Linked DNA regions of Mus musculus. The protein of the gene in region 1 purifies or fractionates together with the protein of each later gene. This does not show direct contact. Links are inferred from orthologs where the notes say so. Each region holds a gene or a part of one and is shown in the gene's direction. Other genes may lie near its edges. The genes, in order: Bbs12, Mkks and Bbs7.

Evidence for each region.
Region 2: the proteins of Bbs12 (region 1) and Mkks purify together in Homo sapiens (co-immunoprecipitation; 4 studies listed by BioGRID and IntAct, counting the BioPlex papers as one, with this or other methods). This does not show direct contact. The link is inferred for Mus musculus from reciprocal best matches to the Homo sapiens genes BBS12 and MKKS.
Region 3: the proteins of Bbs12 (region 1) and Bbs7 purify together in Homo sapiens (co-immunoprecipitation; 3 studies listed by BioGRID and IntAct, counting the BioPlex papers as one, with this or other methods). This does not show direct contact. The link is inferred for Mus musculus from reciprocal best matches to the Homo sapiens genes BBS12 and BBS7.

The regions. Positions count from the first base shown.
Region 1 is NC_000069.6:37,311,083-37,315,357, forward strand, and holds the start of Bbs12 (Bardet-Biedl syndrome 12 protein homolog), read left to right. Parts: upstream 1-1,471; 5' UTR 1,472-1,503; intron 1,504-1,575; exon of another isoform or gene 1,576-4,275. Other genes in the region: Cetn4 (centrin-4), read right to left, coding at 1,275-1,277. UniProt on the Homo sapiens protein: Component of the chaperonin-containing T-complex (TRiC), a molecular chaperone complex that assists the folding of proteins upon ATP hydrolysis.
Region 2 is NC_000068.7:136,888,467-136,892,823, reverse strand, and holds the start of Mkks (McKusick-Kaufman/Bardet-Biedl syndromes putative chaperonin), read left to right. Parts: upstream 1-1,417; 5' UTR 1,418-1,781; intron 1,782-4,357. UniProt on the Homo sapiens protein: Probable molecular chaperone that assists the folding of proteins upon ATP hydrolysis. Plays a role in the assembly of BBSome, a complex involved in ciliogenesis regulating transports vesicles to the cilia.
Region 3 is NC_000069.6:36,606,796-36,610,442, reverse strand, and holds part of Bbs7 (Bardet-Biedl syndrome 7 protein homolog), read left to right. Parts: intron 1-87; coding exon 88-263; intron 264-2,735; coding exon 2,736-2,922; intron 2,923-3,647.

The DNA.
Region 1 (4,275 bases):
GTGGGGTTGTTGTTGGTGGTGGTTGGTTGGTTGGGTTTGTTAAGTAGTCCTGTGCAAAGAAGTTAGATATCCTGGCAGCAAAGATCAAACTTGTCCCAAAGAACTCTACACCCCTAATCAGTAGGAAGTAGTTTAATGATAACGCCATTCCTTTCCCCTCTACTCTTTTTCTCTCTCTCCTATCTAGCATTAGAGGGTTTAAAGAGTAGGAAAGAGTGGAAGAGAAAAGAACCCACAAAGCAGCAAACAGCACAGGGGCATGCATACTAGAACACAATCATCCTGCACCACAAAAACACAAAAGTAAAAAACCCTGGTTATGGTGAACGTCTGCTCCACAGATACGCATGAGAATGTTTGACCAATTATGCGGATACACCCAACATGTGGAAGATGAAGGATCTGTCTGCTGTTTGCTTCTTTATGTCACCAAAGTAGGTCACAGAATCACTGTAGATTCTCCTCTCTGCAAGTGGAGTGGGGAAGCCCTGGAGGTGGCTGAGGATCTAAGTGGCCTATTGGCTGTGGTCACTTCGGATTCTTGGTTCTAGAGCTGCAGATTCTGATGAGTGGTCTTCTAGAGCCTAGGGCAGCCACCTGAGTCACCATTTTTTTTTTCAGCAAGAAGTCAGTGACCCTTTAAGTGGCCTGAGTTGATGAGCCTGAGTGGTCTTCTAGAGCCTAGGGCAGTCACCCGAGTCACCATTTTTTTCAGCAATAAGTCAGTGACCCTTTAGCTTTGAGTGGCCTGAGTGGTCTTCTAGAGCCTAGGGAAGTCACCTGAGTCATCATTTTTTTTTTTTTTTTTCAGCAAGAAGTCAGTGACCCTTTAGCTTTGAGTGGCCTGAGTTGATGAGCCCCTGGCCATCAGGATTGAGTCAGTGGGCCCCTTCCTCTCCGTGAAAGAATTGCTGGTCCCCTGATCATCAGTGGTTAGCTAGGTACCCCACTTCCAGTCAGCAGATGAGTTGGTGGCTCCCTGACCCTCAGTGGTTCCTGTTCCTTCAGCGGCTGAGTTGATGGCCCGCAGGATGTTGGTGGCCCGAGGTTGATGGCCTCTGCTATGCTCGCTTCCCTGTCTTGAAGTCTGTCTGCAGTGGTCTCCGTGCCCCAGGGTCGTATCTCTTTATCGCTGGGCCAACCCTCATAGACTGCAGGCGTTGGTGGATAAATGGAAAGGGAGACCCATCTCTGTTCTCCCTGGCTTAGCTACTAAAGATCCTGACACGGAAGGCAGTAAGCTGGGAAGAACACCAGGGTCCCACAGCACTCACCATATCCCCTCCCTGCGCCCCTGCCCGCGCCCGCGCAACAGCCGCTCTCCCCTCCGCGGCCCGCGTTTGCTCCCGACAGGCGGTTGCTATAGCAGCGCTCAGCGCGCAAGCCCGCCCACCAGCTTCCGTGATTGACGACCATTGCGCCCAATGGAAAGACAAGAGAGCTCTGACCGCGCTCAAGCAGGCGGGACTGGCTGGGTTCCGGCGCTGTGCAGATCCGCGCGTGGTGAGGAGGGTCGTGGACCCTAGGGGCAGGAAGCCAGGGAGGGTGGGGGCGAGTGCTCCGTCACGCGTGTCCCCAGACTCTTTACACACCGGGCCAACAGCCCTGCGGCCTTCCGGCCCAGAGCCGCCCGAGGGCGCGCGGCGGCATGGAGCCCGAGAGGTGGGTGGGTGGGGGCGTCCTTGCGGGGCGGGACGCCAGCCTGGGACCGAGGACGGCGTGGGCCTTCTCCTGGGCTGAAAACAGTGCAAAGCAATCTTTTCCTAGTGTGCTGAGTAAAACGTGGCGCATTCCCAAAGCCGCTGCCTCACGTCGCAGACACTCAGGTTGTAATCCTTAAATCTCCTTAGGTTCCTGGGGTAAGTTTGTCCTTATGGTAGAAGCCAGTTTTCCTGCCTTAAGTTTTCCCAATGGGAACTCAAAGGATGTAAAGTCATAATATTTTGTGAGTGAAGTAAAGTATTAAATCATTTACCTATAATCTATTGGTTTTTTTTCAAGGCACGTATCGCATCCGAAAAGTTACACTTGGACAGTTTTCAGAGTCATAATTAATACTAATTTTAAATAGATTTCTGAAACCCAGAAACGAATATTAGTCAGACAGATAGGCAGGCATTCCCGCGCTCATACACACAAACACACACACCGGGGTGGGGGGGGGGAGGAGAGGGGGGTGGAAGCTGCCTTTTAGACATTCCTGAATATCATTTGATCTGATGACTATCAAAAGGCTGCTAAACCTAAATAAATCTTACATCACCATGATTTAGGAATTTGGATGTTCTAGTGTTAGAGGTTATGGTTTATGATAGGTTAAAGATAGCTTAGGCAGTAGGTTCCTTGAAGAAGAACATTCCAGAAAGAGGGACACTTAGAAATACTGAGACAGGGAGCATGCTTTGCATAGTCTAAAAGCACAGAGAAGGCCTGAGCACAGCAGATGAGTCAGAAAGGAAGAAGTGTGGGTTTTCGTGCTGTGTGGGGACAAGGCCTTTATGTGAGTGAGTTAGGGAGACTTTGTAAGATTCTCAGTACAGAAGTGAAAGGATGTGACTCACTTTTATAGGAACTCCCTGTGCTAAACAGGAGTAAAGACTATTTTCTGAGAGGCTGCTAAGCAGTGGAGTGTTGTGGTTAGATTATAGTGTTAGGAGTAGACTGGAGAGGACACCAGACTTAGTTCTGAGGAGATGAAAATCCTAGTTATACCTATCAAAAAAACGCAGAGCTTTTAAACGTAACCCCTGAAAAGCAAATGAGATGTGATCTTATGAAAAGACAATTTCTGAAGTCAGTATGCCATTTACATAATCTGACTTTGCTCTCCCGTGGCAGATAGAAAGCTAAGGAAACAGTCTGACGAGCAACAGAACTGACCTGTTTGTGGAAGGCATTAGTGCCAGTCACAGCAGAACAAAAATCAGGTTGTGTTAGTGCCGTGCCAAGAACAGTTACCAGAGGTGCCTGGTCACTTTGGAAATTGCCCATCTTCCCATCCCTGTTACTGCCATTGCTGTTTCACATCCAACCTCTTAGAAAATAAGACATTTTGAGTTGTATTACTAATAGCCTATTGGAGTCTCTTCAGAATCATTTAGAAATCTTCCCAAGTTAGGGATGCTAAGATACTTCTTCAGTTTCTAGTCAAAATTGAAATAGAGTCTTCAAATGTTAAAAGATCTCTTGTGAGTATTAATTTTGATATCTGTTGTATAAGACTTTTCTTGCAGATTGTTGAAATCCATCCTTTTATCTGGGAAAACCTTTTTTAACATAATTCAATACAGACTGAGTTTGAAATACCTATGGGTTTTTCCAGTTGTTTTGGATTATTTCTCACTCACAGACTTGATTCTTACCATTTAAACATACTCTAGAAAGGAGACCAGAACTCTTAATGCCACCCCCCTACCCACCCACAACAAATGATAAACATCTTTAAGGACTTAGGAGGCAAAGGGTTTGAAAGAGTAAAATGAAGATTTCTAAGGAAGAGATGATAAGTTACTGTCACACTGAAAGTGAAACAAAACATAGTTGATACAGTAGATAGCATAAACTTGGCAGTAGTTATATGGAGTTTTACCCTTTTATTTAATAGGAGATTTTGTGTCTGTTATTCAGTAATCATGCTTTAGTTTCCACAAATAGGTTAATTATTTTAATGCCAACCTTACATTTTTATTGTGATTTCATTTGTAATATGTGTCAAGTCTGTTGTATAAGGTAAACTCGAAAGTTTTAGCAGTGAAAAACAGCCAGACTCTTCTTCATGTCCTTTTTCCTTATTAATTAATTAATTAATGTATTCACTTTACATCCCAATATCAGCCCCCATCTCCTCCCAATATCCCCTCACACAGATCCTCCCCATGCTCTGGTCCCCTTCTCTGAGGAGGGGGAGTCCCCTCCACTTGGTATCTTCGCCCTGCTCATCCAGTCACTGCTCCAGTGGTTGGGGGGCTGCATGCAGCCAGACTTTTAAACATGTCCTTTCAACATTTTGTTTTTATTAACTAGGTACTCATGAAGGGAGAGAGAGACTGCTGGCTCCAAAGAAATCAGCGTATAGCAAATTACAAATACAAATGTAAAGAAAGGAACATTTAAAACACAGATTTCTCGGCTTCAAACTTACCAGAAAGTTACGGTTTTTATAACTGCATGGTATTGGCACAAAATGCTTACTTCTTCCAATACAGTTGAATTCACAGCCCAGAGATAAACCCATGTATGTATAGCAAGTTGATTTTTGATAAAGGTACTAAGAAC
Region 2 (4,357 bases), on another chromosome or scaffold:
AAGCAAGTGGATGAAAAGGAGGTTTCGTTTTGTTTTGTTTTGAAGTTTACTTCTATATTTTATAGCACAAAACTAGCTAAGTATTCAACAAATTCAATGAATGAATGAATGAATGGGAAGAATATACAAACACAGCTGATCACATTTTAAAGTCCTCTGGGAGCTATATTCACCTCTATAGATGCAGAAAGCCATACAATTAATGATCAAATTTGCTGTTCCATCCATTTTGCTTTGTTATTCTACGGAAATTCCCTCAACGTTATTGTCCCTTTAAATCTCAGTCTTCCTGAACAGTGGTGTTTAACAATTCTAATGGAAAGAGAAGGAATACCTAAGAGAAAAATTGTGTTAAGTCCCAAAATCCAAAACAAAAATACGTATTGGTATAAGATGGCCAAACAGTTCGGTCCAACTGAGGGAAGAGCTGGGTTATCCGAACGAAGTATCACACGCTCTTACCTACGATGGTGGCGGGAGGTGGGTTCGGGCTGTAATGCTTTGTTACTGTCCGGGGTCACTGGTGGACTAGTATAGTACCTGAACGGGAAAACTCAGACTAAAAAGGCGGCAGACCAAGCTTCAGCAGCTTTGGCTTACTTCCCGTTTCCCAGCGTCCCCTCGCACGTTAGAGAATGCAACCAGCGCCCAAACACAAGATGGCATTATCGACTTCATTCGGTTGGAAGCCACTGCCAGCACCTACGATGGCGCCCGAAGCCCTGGCTAAGGTAATGGGATAGCCGGAAAGAACTGCCCAAACGAAAAATGGCTTCTGTCGATGATATCAACGCTTTATGGAGACCAAAATAAAAATGGCGGCCAAAGCGGATTTTTTTTTTTTTTTTAAGAGGTTGGAAAAGCCACAAATACAATTGGCAGATAATGTATCACTGTACGTCAACGATATGTACTGATGGACAACAACAACAAAAGCCGTGTTTTTCGTATCACAAAACTATAGGGCAAGAGTAGAAAATATTTTTAATGAGGAAGATTAAAAGATACGTTGAAAAATAAAGGTGCCTTTCACGGTGCCAGAGAAAAGCGAAATAAAATATGTTTAAACATAATTTCATAATGCTTCGGGTGGTTCAAAAGAATAAAAGACTTATCTCTGAAGAAAAAAAAAAGAAAGGCAAAGCCAAGGAAATTAACCAACCGGATCCGGCACTGAATTGAAGACTCCCGACTTCTGCCAACCCCGCTCCTAGACTGGGCGGAAGTTTCCTGCATGGCGACAGGCTCTGTCTGCGCATGTTCGCTCTCTGACGTCACTCGGACCGGCAGGGCGGAGCCAGTTTCTACAGCTTAGGGCGTCCTGAGAGAGGTGGGAATTGACAACTGAGTGACAGGGCAAGGCGCCTTGTGATTGGTCAGAACAGAGGAAACGCCACCTAGGACTGGTAACAGCTTCATTCGTTCTACAAATACCTTTCGAGAGAGCAGAGAGCCGCACGCTCTGCCACCTTCTTGGTGCTGTGATGTGATGTGATGTGACCTTTCAATTTTGGTAGCGCGCACAGACAGAATACACGTCTGCCCGTAAGATTTCCGGTGACGGCCGCAGCTTTCCTTTGCGGGAGCTTCACGCAAACCCCGGAAGAGGGGCGGGGGAAGGAGGGGTGGTGCGCGTGAGCATAGAGTTGCGCATGCGCCTTCTTGCCGCGCAGGGCAAAGGTGGTGGCGCTCCGCTGCGTGGTTGGTTGCTGTGCAAGCGCGATTTCTGGTTTCTGGTGGTGAAGGTGGCCTGACCTAGAGGTGCAGCTGCTGGTGGGCAGGTGAGAGGGGCCAGGCCGCTGGTGGAGAAGCCAGCCTGCGGCCTCACCGCGTCCCCGCACGGAAAGGTCGCGAGTGGTTGGGACAAGGGTATTTGGGGGCGGGGATACAGAGGCACCTGGCTACCGGATTGGCCCAAGGACAGCTTTCAAAGTAGCTTCAGAGCGGGGCGGTGGTGGTGCACGCCTTTAATCCCAGCACTTGGGAGGCAGAGGCAGGCGGATTTCTGAGTTGGAGGCCAGCCTGGTCTACACAGTGAGTTCCAGGACAGTCAGAGCTACACAGAGAAACCCTGTCTCGGAAAACAAACAAACTAAACAAAACAACAACAATAAAAACAAAGTAGCTTCAGGATGTGACTATCTGATGATGGATCAGTGTGGGTGAGGAGGAGTGACCAATATCAGGTAGAGTTTGAATAGAGCTTCCTCAAACTCACATGCACAAGAATTGTAACTGAAATGACAGACCCATAATGCCACAGGAACTGGAAATACCTTTAAAATGCACGTTATTTACAGTTGCTGGCATCTTGAGAAAGCAATAAGTTGACACGTTGGGGGAAATGAACAGCCTAAACTACTCAAGGCAAGCAAAAAGACAGTTGTCATTCTGGAGTTTTACTCTCGGGTTGTTAGCCAGTTTCTGAGATTTACATATCTCTCATCATTTCTTGCTTTTTCCCCTTATTCTCTGAACATGACCCAGGCACCTCAGTGGACACAGAGTCTGGTTAGTGTCTGTTGATATCAAACATGCACAACCTGCCATGGAGAGATTACCCCAAATAAGCAACTATGTATAGTTTGGATGTGAGGTGGTCTGGAGGTTTTTCGTTATTGTTATTTACTGGTTTCTAATTAATTTTCTGAAGATAACTAATTTGTAATAGAAGTTAAAGTTGATTGTCATGTTTGCTCAAAATTTCTGGTATTGCCTAACACCTCTGTATATGTAGATTAGGTATCCAGAAGTTCACACATCTGATCACTTGCCAACTCTTTATTAACTGTCCTCAGACAAACATAAGTGCCATCCATTCTGTCTTTGCAGCTTTTCTGTGCTGTAAAAGTTTTCTTATTTCCTTCATTGCTTACCTGGCTTCCACACTTTCACACACACACACACACACACACAAAACCACAAAACCTGTTTCTTGAGAATCTGAAATTTTATTTTATTATTTAATTTAATTTTTTTGTTTCTTTGTTTTTTAGAGAGAGGGTTTCTCTGTGTAGCTCTGGCTGTCCTGGAACTCACTCTGTAGACCAGGCTGGCCTCAAACTCAGAAATCTGCCTGCCTCTGCCTCCCAAGTGCTGGGATTAAAGGCGTGCGCCACCACGCCCAGCTGAATATTTTATTTTCATTTTCTTGTCTAGCATAATGAATTGGAGGCCAGCACAGGTTACATGTGACCCTGCCTCATGGAATCTCAACAACATTTTTTTTTTTAAGGCAAAGGAAAAACACATCCTCCCTTTTCCGGTGATCAAAGCACAGTACCAGTCCTTACCTATCTATCACTGAGTACCAGTCCTTACCTATCTATCACTGAGTCCAGGCTGCGGCAGGAGCGTGTATTGCACAGCAGGTTCTTGATGTGGAACTCATTAGTACTCTTGCCAGTGACTTAGCTGAGACAGTACAGGTGTAAAGAGGATTGAGGGGAGATTTGAAGTCCAGGCGATAGGAATCTACAGTTCATCCCTTTAAGTTATTGCTTTATGACTCAGCCATATTGACCTGGTTTACTCGATTTTCTGAAAACTCGTTGGGAAAAACTAAATCTGGATGGCCTTTGTATGCTGTAATAACAGATTAAACTGTAACCCTGTTAGGAGTATAAAGGTTTTCAGTGACAATCGAGGTCACTAAAACAGTCGCCTGTAAACTCAGCTTTAGGACTTCCTGAGAATCGTATTAAATGTTCCTCGACACTACCCTGGAGTTTGGCTTCTGTGGTTGTTCAGCCTGAGAATTTACATTTCTACTAAGTTCCCCAGTGACTAGTGCTACTGATAATGAGACCACAAAACAAGAAAGTCATTTAGAGGTCCTAAGTGTCGTCACTGCATCTTAGGAAGATCATCTGAGATGTCAGGATGTGGACAGTCTTGAAGAGTGAGGGGAAATGTAGAATACATTATATCCAGATTTCTGAGTTGGATAGCTTAGTATATTTTTAATCTTGTATTGTTTTCAATTATGTATAGATGTGTGTCTCCTTGTTGGATATGTGCACTGAGTTGCAGGTGCCCTTAAAGACCTAAAGGTCTGTCAGATCCCCTGGAATTAGAGTTGCAGATGGTTTTGAGTCACCGGATGTGGGTCCTCTGCAAAAGATTTTAGCTACTGAGTGATCTATTTCTCCAGCCCTGCTTTCTCTTTCTTTTTGTCTGACCCCCCCCCCCCAATAAAATACAGGTATAACAGCAGTTTGGAAGGAAAGAAAGTTTGTTGTTGTTCATGACTCAGATCAGTTTGGTTTTTGTTGTTTTAATTAGTTGTGAGACAGTTTTATGTCATCTAAGTATTTGCTCTTTTGCTGAAGGATGGATGACCTGGAATAATGCTATC
Region 3 (3,647 bases), about 700 kb from region 1:
TTTAAAATCATAGCTTTTATAGTACAGGAAAATGTTTACAGTGAAATAACTTGTACACTTAACTTTTTCCCCAATTGATTTTTACAGCCAGTGTTCAAGACTTTACCAGGGCAGAAGATCTCGAGGCTGGAACTAGGAGGGGCCGTCAACACGCCTCAGGAGAAAATCTTCATTGCTGCAGGGTCCGAGATTAGAGGCTTTACAAAGAGAGGGAAACAGTTTCTCTCTTTTGAAACTAACCTCACGGAAAGCATTAAAGCTATGTATGTCTTGTTCTCTTTTATGTTTACATATGTATCTATCATACATCTGATTAAGTTAGTATACACTAGTAGGTTTTTCTGGAAAAGAAATTTGGCTACAGGCATTTCATTATTCAGAACCTGGAATCAATACACCGTTGATTGACAGTTGAAATGTTTTCAACTTCACATTGTGTGTGACTGTGTGTATGTGTGTGTGTGTCTGGGTGTTTATGTGTGTGTATATGTGTGTGTGTGTGTGTGTCTGGGTCTTTATGTGTGTGTATATGCGTGTATGTGTGTATGTGTGTGTCTGTGCACTCACATTCACTTTTTGTTTTGTGATCATTTTTTAAAATATATTTTATATTTTCCATAGATATATAGTAATTGTGTGCATTTATAAATCACAGAGGCACGTTAATATGTATATATGATATGTGATGTCAGATTGGAGGAATTAGCATACTCATCACCTCTGACAATTTATGTTGGGAACATTCTAAAACCTCTCTGCTAGTTATTTTGAAGTGTGAAGTTGTATACATTCAGTTTTCACTGTCTGGTTCAGTTATGATTATGGTAATGACAAGGTATATGTAAAAAGTTAAAAAAAGAACAACCTAGATACACAGGTTCCTATTCCTCAAGTGCCTGTGGTAGTTCTGGTTTTGAGGTAACGATATTATATCAAAAGGGTGTCTGGTCCCTGAATGTGGTGGTTCTTGTCTGTAATCCCCATACTTGGGAGACTGAAGTAGAGGGTTGTCACAAATTTGAGGCCAATTTGTGGTGTATAATGAATTCACCAACCATATGGGCTATGGAGTGAGACCTGGTCTTAAGAAACAAAACCCATTCTTTAAAGTTGATGGCCACTAATGGTTGTAATTTCTGGTAAATTGGGTAAAACTACATGAAAAATACAAGGCTTCCTGGCATGTGAAATTTAACAGTTAAAAATTTAGACTTTGTTTCCTATCAGGTGGTGGGGCAAGAGGGTAAGAAACAGAGATGGGCCTGTGTGGGCTGTGGTTTATGGTAGAGATCAGAGGACGAGTTCACAGAGTGACCCTCCTACCTTTATGTGAGTTCTGGGGCGAGAATGCAGGCCACCAGGTTTTACGTGACAAGCTCTTTGCCTTCTGAGCCATCTCGTCAGTCCTGAACTTTTAGTTTTTGAGCCATGGGGGCTAGGGAGGCCATGAAGTTCATGTAACTTCCCTCCTTTTTTTTTCATTTGTATTTATTTATTCACTCTATATGTCAGTTGCTGCCCCCCAGGTCCCCTCCCTCACACGGTCCCTCCCAGCCACGTCTCCCTCCCTTTTTCCTCTTCTCTAAACCCTATTAACCCAAGGGCGTCTTAGGAAGACTGGCAGCAGCCACCTCCCTCACACTTGCTAAGCAGAGTGACTAGGAGTGGCTTTTAAGTTTCTTCCTTCGCTGCGATGCAGCCAAGTGGTCCATGTAGCCAGAGGCCTGGTTTGGACACTCCTAGCTGACAGCATCTCTCTATGGTGGACAGAAGCTTTGTGCCATTCTGTGCAGTGCACGGCACTTCTCTCGACTGAGGACTTTAAACATCTGGTTTGTGAAGTGAGACAAGAGTCCAACAGCAACACGTGAAAAAGATTTCAGATGGTTTTTAAAAATATATAATGTGTTTGAAATGATCTTGTAGACCAAGAATTAGAAACTTGCTGTGATTATTAGCTACACTTTCTTAAAGCCCATTATAAATGAACTTATTCCAAAGATAACATCCTAATGAAAACATTTCCATCATGCATTCATCACTTAAAATCAGTTGAGGTGTACTTTCCTAGGCGCGTGAATGTGAAGCTAACTCTAGAGCGGAAGTTACCCCCACCTGCCATCTCTCATTTCCAATATGAGCCATTAGTCCTGGGCACATTTTGCTATTCGGTTATCAAAGGGATACTAACCATTTATAGAATTGAGTGCTAATGTGCTACTTTGGGTATATCAATTAGAACAGTGTTTGGCAAATGAAATACACTAAAAAAGTTTCTCGATTGATGCTGTTTTATAAAAACAAACAAATGAAGACACGTGTTGTTAGTTTTTCTGAGCCCTTACTGAGAATCCTGACTTACCGTCCTTGCTGGTGGTTGTCAGGTTGTCAGAATTAGAAGTGGCTTATGCATCAAATGGCTAACGATTAAAGCTGCATGGTTTGTGCCTATAGTCCCACACTTAGTGGGGAGAGCCAGTGCATAATGGTTCCAAGGTTGTCCTCAGTCATTAGGCTGAGATCAAGGACAGCCTAGAACTGCTCAAGAACCTGTCTTTAAAGAGAGAGGGTACATGAGATTAAGTGGGTGAAATGAAAAAACAAAACAAAACAAAACAAAAAACTTACCTTTATTAAATGCAAGTAAACTGTTTTCACCTGTTTAAAAAAAAAACAAACAGTCAGTTGCCTGTGCTTAAAATGACCATCCTAAATTATCATGTTAATGTCTTCAGGTACATATCTGGCTCTGACCTCTTCCTCAGTGCAAGCTACATCTATAATCACTACTGTGATTGCAAAGACCAAAATTATTACCTTTCTGGGGACAAAATCAATGATGTCATCTGCCTTCCTGTGGAAAAGTTATCTCGCGTGACACCGGTGTTGGCCTGCCAGGACCGGGTGCTCCGAGTCTTACAGGTGATGCCCTTTGAATTTTTATGACTCTTCACTATTCAGTAAACCATTGTGAGTGCCATATGCTTTAAGGTTACTTTAATGCTTCTATCTTATTCCAGGAAATGTGCTGACATCTTTTGAACGTTTTTAGAATAGATACAGAGAGGGAAACAGCTACCTTCCACTCACGCATCCCCAGTCCGAAATGCCCACCATTAGATAGAGAACTTGGATACTAATAACTATTGTCCACATGGTCCCCACTTGCTCCTTCAGTACTTTTCTAGTCCTCAAAAACTAAAAGGAAAATTGGATAGAAGAGGAGGCAAAAAATAATTTGAATTTATCAATCATTCAAACACATATGGAATAAAATACTCAGTAAATAATTCATTGCATAAATAAACGGTAGAATGTTTGCCTAACATGCTTGAAACCCAGTGCCACATAAACCCATTGTTGTGGAGCAGGCCTGAAATCTCAGCACACAGGAGGTGCAGGCAGGAGAATCAGAAAACCAACATCATCCTTAGCTTTGTAGGGAGTCTGAGATCTGCCCAGGGTATATGAGATCCTGTGGCAAAATATACAAAGTAGGAATGGGCAAGCAACCAGATAGAAGTTACCTAGCTGATTTCTAGATTTTGCTTTGTTTCATAAGAGGCTATCTGTATTCTTATTTATTTATTTATTTATTTATTTATTTATTTATTTATTTATTTGCTTATTTATCGTTTTATTTTTTT